2 linked regions of the Tribolium castaneum genome follow. The protein of the gene in region 1 binds, or shares a complex with, the protein of each later gene. Links are inferred from orthologs where the notes say so. Each region holds a gene or a part of one and is shown on either strand. Other genes may lie near its edges.

Evidence for each region. The genes of interacting proteins can lie anywhere in the genome.
Region 2: the proteins of me31B (region 1) and Gyf are in contact, whole or in part, in a crystal structure (PDB 6S8R), measured with the Drosophila melanogaster proteins. The link is inferred for Tribolium castaneum from reciprocal best matches to the Drosophila melanogaster genes me31B and Gyf. Residues at the interface, in NP_523533.2 of Drosophila melanogaster: Tyr274, Ala275, Phe276, Val277, Glu279, Arg280, Gln281, Lys282, Val283, His284, Cys285, Thr288, Leu289, Ser304, Thr305, Gln306, Arg307, Leu310, Leu311, Lys314, Glu317, Leu318, Phe370, Pro420, Ile421, Lys423; in NP_001162827.1 of Drosophila melanogaster: Glu344, Asn345, Pro347, Glu348, Trp349, Ala350, Ile351, Glu352, Pro354, Ser355, Lys356, Leu357, Gly358, Gly359, Ser360, Phe361, Asp362, Ala363, Ser364, Gly365, Ala366, Phe367, Gly369.

What each region holds. Positions count from the first base shown.
Region 1 is NC_087402.1:3,103,504-3,107,603, forward strand, and holds the start of me31B (ATP-dependent RNA helicase me31b), read left to right. Parts: upstream 1-1,298; 5' UTR 1,299-1,433; exon of another isoform or gene 1,434-1,571; intron 1,572-1,855; 5' UTR 1,856-1,977; coding exon 1,978-2,030; intron 2,031-2,084; coding exon 2,085-2,166; intron 2,167-2,397; coding exon 2,398-2,566; intron 2,567-3,351; coding exon 3,352-3,908; intron 3,909-3,957; coding exon 3,958-4,100. Other genes in the region: KIF-binding protein, read right to left, coding at 1-43, 89-290. UniProt on the Drosophila melanogaster protein: ATP-dependent RNA helicase which is a core component of a variety of ribonucleoprotein complexes (RNPs) that play critical roles in translational repression and mRNA decapping during embryogenesis, oogenesis, neurogenesis and neurotransmission.
Region 2 is NC_087402.1:9,995,149-9,998,666, reverse strand, and holds part of Gyf (GIGYF family protein Gyf), read left to right. Parts: intron 1-1,219; coding exon 1,220-1,603; intron 1,604-1,656; coding exon 1,657-2,596; intron 2,597-3,518.

The DNA.
Region 1 (4,100 bases):
ATTGAAGTCATACCAAGATACAGGTACACACTTCCCAACATTGCTAAAATTATCACCTTCAGGCAAATTTACAACAATGTGGCACCACCTGTTAGTTTTATCTTGTCATTGTCTGGCTGAGTTTCTATCACATTTTCTAGACTCGCTTTCATGCTGACTAGGGTCTCGCTGGCCGCATATTTCGACACGAAAGGCTGATTTTCAGGGTCGTATTTACTGTCCTCGAGTAACTTAAGGACCTTATTGAATTTTTCCTCTAAATCGACAAAAACCTCCTTGCTTGCAGTCATGACGTATACTGAAAATTATTGCAAAATGTAACTCTCCAAAAATGCGGCAATACAGTTATTACCGAAATCTCAATTTTTTGCTAAAATTCTGTTTATTTGTTATTAAAATGACCGACAAATTGTAGGTTAAATAGCTGTCAAATCATGGATGAAAAAGGTGGTGCCAGGGTGGTGAAACCTAAATGCACCAAGCCAAGTATAGGCGCCAAATTCAAAATCGACTGTAGTTCGGCTTGCTATCGCAGATGTCGCACACACGTATAGTCAATTTTAGCGAAGCTACCTATAATATCGGCAGAAATTAACAGTGGACCTGTGACAGTTGCCATTGTGTAAATCGCCATTTTGTGCTTGGTTTGTTTGGTGTTCGCCTTCGGCTTTGTTTTATGTGAAATTAGTACTGTTTTGTGGTTTTTTTCGTGTGTGTGCTTTTTTGAACTTTTTTATTGTGGGAATATAAATAATTTGATGGATCAATCATTAGTTTATAGTTATCGTATCGTGTATATTGACTAGTGATAATAAATTTTTATTACAAGTTTATTGTCTTTATTTATTCTCATATTTTATTTTTCGTATTCTTTGTAAATATTCAGCAACAATAGTTGTCTAACATCAGAAAGTGTTATTAGCAACTATTGTTGTGAATATTTACAAACAATACGAAAAATGCAATCAAACTTTAAAAGAAAAGTAACTACGGGCAATTCAAATCGCCCGCCGATAACGCTTAGTACGCGCTGGCAACAATAGATGTGCTAGTGACACTTTCGCTCTATCGGGACAAGGACAGATGCGTTTCTGTAAAACCTGTTATTCTGTGGGTGGTGCCAGAGAACAAGGTGGTGCTGTGGGTGGTGAGAAGAGAACAAGGTGGTGCGCGCAATTTGAACGCTTTTTTGTGAGCTTTTTACATGAGTGGTTACTTAATTTTATTATGGTTGAAGGAGACGGACCCTATCAGGGGCGCTTTGTTATCACTGCCATAAAAAAATTGTATTTTTTGGCCAAAAATTTCAAAAATTCTTTGATTTTTTCCGATTGTTTCTCGCGCCATCTCACGGGTTGTCCTTTGGTTAGCGGAGCATCCTGGCATTGCAGATTCGCGGCCATTGTTAATTGCTGAAAGTCATTTTCCTTTTGGTGAGTAAAGCGTCCATATCAGTGGTAAAAGTTATTCGAAAAGAGCGATTTGATGCAAAAATCACACATTATGAGCAATGTCTGAGTATTTCCCAGGGTGTCTCGACGGTATTCCTTAAATTCTTTGTCCAGAATCAGGTAAATTTGCGTCGTTGTGCAATAATTTATGTGTAGTCGACGGTGCACTGTACACAAGAATCAGTAGCCATTTTAATTAGAAATCTGAATCCTGTTTATTTGTTGCAATCGTCGAACTTTTGGCCGTTTTTGAGGGTTTTATTTCCGTATCGCCAGTGAATGTTCATGACCTGGCTATTATTGACACTGCAACAATTACGGGATGTTCTATTTTTGTGGTTATATCTATTCCGTATTGACCTTAAATTTTCTGCGTCATTGATGTTTAAACTGGGATTTTGCAGATTATTATCGTTCCTGTGAGGGATCTTAGGAACTGTACTTATCCTACACATTGTAGAGGAAGAAGATTTGGGTTTTATAAACCCTATTTTTTAATACACTTGCAATAGTATTTTCTACAATTATGATGACGGACACATTGAATTCGAACCATGTGATGGCTTTGTCAGGCAAAGTGTAAGTTGTTTGCTTATCATTAAGAATGTGCGGTGACGAACCGCTTCCTTGCAGTGATATTGACACCAAAATGGATGACATGGGATGGAAAGCCAAACTGAAGATTCCACCCAAGGATAGGAGAATACAGACCAGTGTAAGTTAAAACTCACTGCTTTGTACGTTCACGGTCACTTGGAAGGCTTTGGGTCACTTGCATGTCTAAACCGGGAATAATATTCAAAGCTTTCCATTATTAACATGATGACACTATGGATTCCCCTTCATTTTTCTTATAAATGATAACGTCTTGCCTGATTTCATGCATTTCTTTCACCATTCGTGCAAAAAAGGTGTTACCGTTATTTTATCAAGTATTTGTTACTAGGATGTGACTGATACCAGGGGAAATGAATTTGAAGAATTCTGCTTGAAGAGAGAATTATTAATGGGTATTTTTGAAAAAGGGTGGGAGAAACCGTCTCCTATCCAAGAAGCTTCTATTCCAATTGCGTTATCTGGCAAGGATATTCTTGCAAGGGCAAAAAATGGCACAGGTATGTTTTTTACTCAATGTTTAGTGCATATTTAGTAAGCCTGTTCTGTTACTCAATAATTGGATGGGGGGACAAATATGCAAAACTAATGGCTTGATTTTTGCTAATAGTCATATTTATTTTTGAATATGACGCAAAAAATCACATACAGTAATTTGCGCTTATGAAATACCAGCTCGAATAAGTGGGCGCTATAAATCAGTCAAGCTACTTTATTTGGTAATTTAGTTCGCAGAATTGAGCTTTTTTGTACAAAATTTTTTTAACAATCAAGTCAATAATAAAACGTTCTCTTTTTTGTAATTCTGATTGTACTTTCTTAATTTACTAATTTACTTGTGATGTCAAAAAATACGTGTTATTATTAAACTGTCCTATTCTAAAAAACACGCGATGTAAAAAATTAATTTGTGTTTTTTTTTATATTTTCTTTCACTACATAAGCGGTAGTTCGAACCGAGACACAGACAAACACCAGAAATGTTAAAATCATCGTTATTTGTTCACTGCCTATTGTAAATTGGGTGACCTTGTTTACTTGTATTCGTTATGTACTCGAAATACATTACCTCTCTAGCTCACTTGTGTTTGTTTGCTTATCTTTTTTGGATGTAATACTGTTTATTGCATTTATCATTATACATATATCATATCAGATATACCAAAAACTGGAAATTAGTTACAAATCAATATTTTTATAATAAAAAAAGACAAAGAAGAGGGCCAAACTTTTACAGACATAATCTAAAAATTGGCTGTCAATTATTGAATGCTTTGGTCTTCAGGTAAAACCGGTGCGTACAGTATTCCCGTGTTGGAACAGATCGATCCCAAGAAAGACTGCATTCAAGCACTGATCATAGTGCCTACACGAGAGCTCGCGCTTCAAACGTCACAAATTTGCATTGAGCTCGCTAAGCACTTGGACGTGCGCGTGATGGTAACGACCGGTGGAACAAATTTAAGAGATGACATAATGCGCATCTACCAGAAAGTACAAGTTATTATAGCAACGCCTGGCCGCATCCTCGATCTGATGGAAAAGGGTGTCGCCGTAATGGACCAGTGCAAGATTCTAGTTTTAGACGAAGCCGACAAGCTTCTCTCACAAGACTTCAAGGGGATGCTCGACACTGTGATAAAGAACTTACCGCAAGAGAGACAAATACTGTTGTTCTCCGCCACGTTTCCTCTCACAGTTGAGCAGTTTATGCGAAAACATCTCCGAGATCCGTACGAGATCAATCTCATGGAGGAGCTCACTCTTAAAGGTGTCACGCAATACTATGCGTTCGTTCAAGAACGTCAGAAAGTACACTGTTTAAATACTCTGTTTTCAAAGGTTGGGCTCTTGGTATTTTGGTTTATTTTTTCTGACAGTTTTTTTCTAGTTACAAATAAACCAAAGCATAATATTCTGCAATTCCACGCAACGTGTCGAATTGTTGGCGAAGAAAATCACCGAACTTGGTTATTGCTGCTACTACATTCACGCCAAGATGGCTCAAGCGCATCGCAACAGAGTATTCCATGA
Region 2 (3,518 bases), about 6.9 Mb from region 1:
TAAGCTCAATTACAATGTCGCTTGGTGATTTGTCAGTTTAGGACTAGTAAGCAAACAGTTTTAGCGTAAAACCGTATCTATCTACATCCTCGAAAAAGTCGAAAATATGGACATTTTTGTCTTTTTCCTGCAGTTTTTGCGAAAATTTGCAAACTGATCGAGCTTTATTTGAAAAACGAACTTTTACATTGTATACAGGCATAAATAACATTATTTGAACTACCATATTATTTATATCTTTGATTTAGTAATTATTATTTGTCTTGTTTTCGTTCTAATTTTTTGAGATAATTACGTTTATGATGAAAAACGTGCTAATGGGCCGTGTGAATAAAGTGATGTAAATGCTTTTGCTTGTAATAGTAAAAGATAGACCTAATTTATATTTTATTATTATGAGTGAGAAAGAGATAAAACAATAGTAAAAGCTTTTACTACATTTTATTCATTCTACCTAATGTGCTGGAAGAGAACAAAATAATGGGATTTTATTTCTATCTCAATCTTGCAAAAAAAAGGTAAAAATACAATTATTTCGTACAGATTTCGTGGTATCATGACAAAAAAACATTCCAAACACTCGAAAGACACACATTGAAGTAACCCAAGTTGGTAACTTTCCGAATCGGTTAGTGCTTGTACGTTTTAAAAAGGTGTTTACGACCAATTTTGGTGATTTTTGGGTTAGTTTTAGCTTAATTGCTACTAAAATTCTGCGATTTTTTATTATATATTTGACGAAATTTTGTGTTAATAAATATCAAAAAACACCAGAAAAAAATACAAATTGATTTCATTTTCAACCCGATTTGTTGATTTTTTGACTCGACTTAGCGCAAAAATTAATTTTGAGCATAAAACGTGTTTCATATTTAAAATAAATAAAAACATTTCATGCTGTGATCAATTTTAACTCCTTTTTGCTAATTTATGCATTACACAATGCGTAAACAGTGGATAACATGTCTATAAATAACTCGTCTAAAAATGCCTTGACTCAACTTAAATTGTTTCAGTTTTTTTTAAAATGCTTTGAAAGAAATCGAAACGCAATAATTTTAAGGACCGGTTTATAAAAGCGCATTAATTTAATTCGCAATTAAAAGCGTGATTAACTGATCACGTGATCAAATGGAATTTTAACAAAGCTTTCTATAAACCGGTCCTAAATGAAGTAATACATTAAGGTGACTGAAGTATGGCTTATTTTTTTGTTCAGAGTAATAAGCTCCCAGGTTCAGTCCTGGTGGACAAACCTCCCAGCAGTGTGCCTAATCAGCTCGATCCTCTTCTCGTTCAGATGGGAAACATGCATTCGCTGCAAAACCGAATGCAAACTCCTGGTCTCCACAACCACCTCCCAGGGAGTGGAGTTCCTTCAAATCTAACATCGTCTCTACCTCCCGACGGCTTGGGTAACACTTTGCCAAATTTACAAACATCCCCAATTCCAACATTACCTGGAATGCATGGGAATTTACCGACTGGTCTTCCCGGTCCTATTAACGTAAATCGCCCCTCAATGGATCAATTACCACCAGGACAAGACAACGATCCAATTACAAATTTCCTGAAACAGTTCCAGCAACAGCGACAATTGCCTGTGAGTCTTTTTGGGCGATTTTTGCGATGTTTTGTTAATTTTTGCGATTTTAGTTGGATTCACTCTGGCAGAAACAAAACCAATTCGGTGCGCCCCCGGTGAGTACCCCAAACCAGTGGCCCCAACAGACTGATGCGAGCATATCAATGTGGGATATGCAAACACCTGAAGGGGTTGAAAAACCAGTCCAGGATAAAGAACAAGAGAAAAAACCGAAAGAGGAATTATCACAGAAAGAATTAAAGAAACGAAAAGAACAGGAAGAGAAACAAGCGAAGAAAGAAGCGGACGAACGCAGAAAACAAGAGCAAAAGAAGCAGGAAGCGGAGCGCAAAGCCGCCGAAGACAAGAAGAAAAAGGAGGAGGAAAAAATAAGAAAGGAACTAGAAAAGGCGAAGAAAGAAGCAGAGGAGAAGCGACTTCGGGAACTAGACGAGAAACGAAGACTTAAAGAACAGAGGAAAGTCGAAGAAGAAATGAGAAAAAAGAACGAGGAGCTCAAAAAAATCGAAGAAGAGAAAAACAGACGTGAGAAGGAAAAAGAAGAGAAAAAGCTGGCAGAAGTGGCAAAATTGAACCAGAGCCAGGCGAGAGGTGCTTCCAAAACGGCTCCATGGTGCCAATCAAACTTCACATCAAATCTAAATTTGACCGATATTCAGAAAGCAGAGAAAGAGAAACGTGCAATGGAAGCGGCTCTCCAACTCCAAAAACAACAACTTCAAGAGTTGCAACAGCAACAACAAATTGAAAAAACCGGTGGTCTTCAGTTGAATTGGGCTAAGAAACCGATTGAACCGAGGAAAGTTAAGTCTGTTGCTGAGATTCAAGCCGAAGAACAGGAGAGATTAGCAAAGTTGACAGCTGAGGCGAGAATGGCTGCGCAACTCAAAGAAAAAGAAGCTCCAGTTTCGAATTCGGGGAGCATTTGGAATGGTCAAAGTCTGACTTGGGCAAACGCTTCCTCAACCTCGCAGTGGTCGACGAATTCTGGTGGGTATTTATCTAACACACATTCATAAATAACTCCAATTTCAACACTCGCAATATTTTTAACAAGTTACATTTAAATATTTCCGTAACGACTAAAATACGTGTTAAAATTAAAACACTCGAAAGAAGCTTCTTGGGACAAAACATCATTTTTGTCCTAATTTGGGGATTTCTTGATACATTTTTTGACGAAATTTTATCCTATTTTGTGCCTGGTTAAAAACCATCCTAAAACCCTCAAAAAAGACAAATAATGGTTATTTTATTATCCAAATATATTAACTAGCGGCTCAGTTTAGTACAAAAATTAAGCTCCAATTGAAGGTTTGCCGCTAAAAGGCAAAAATAACACATTTTTTTATTATTCACATTTGGTTCGTCTTGGTTTTGACTAAACATTTGACATAATACGTGCTAAAATGGTTAGAAGATACAGAGATATTTTTTTGGATCTGATTAATGACCGGTATATCGAAATTTTGTAAAAAATTAACTCTAATTCAGAAATTTATTGGTGTGTTGTTGACGAAATTTCATGATAAAACTGCGTGTCTAACTGAGAAAATGTTCTTATATGCTCTGAAAACAGAAACTAAGATAATTTTTGACCCAACTTAGTGATTTTTATCTCTAAAACATGATTAAATGCGAGCAATATATTTTTTGGACCAATTTTAGTGCTTTTTCAGTTCACTCAGTTTCTTTTCGCAAACGAACTCAAAAATTATTTTCAATTAGGTAATTTTTCGGCGTATTTTTGAATGACGAGGGTCAAAATTTGAGTTTCTAATCGAAAAACGCTTGCGTGGTGGCAAAAATATTGTCGTGATCTTTGCCCAACTTATCGAAATTTGGCAAGAAAAGTTATTAACTTCAAAAAGCACATGTTAAAAATAATATTTTTGCTGCAATTCAGTGATTT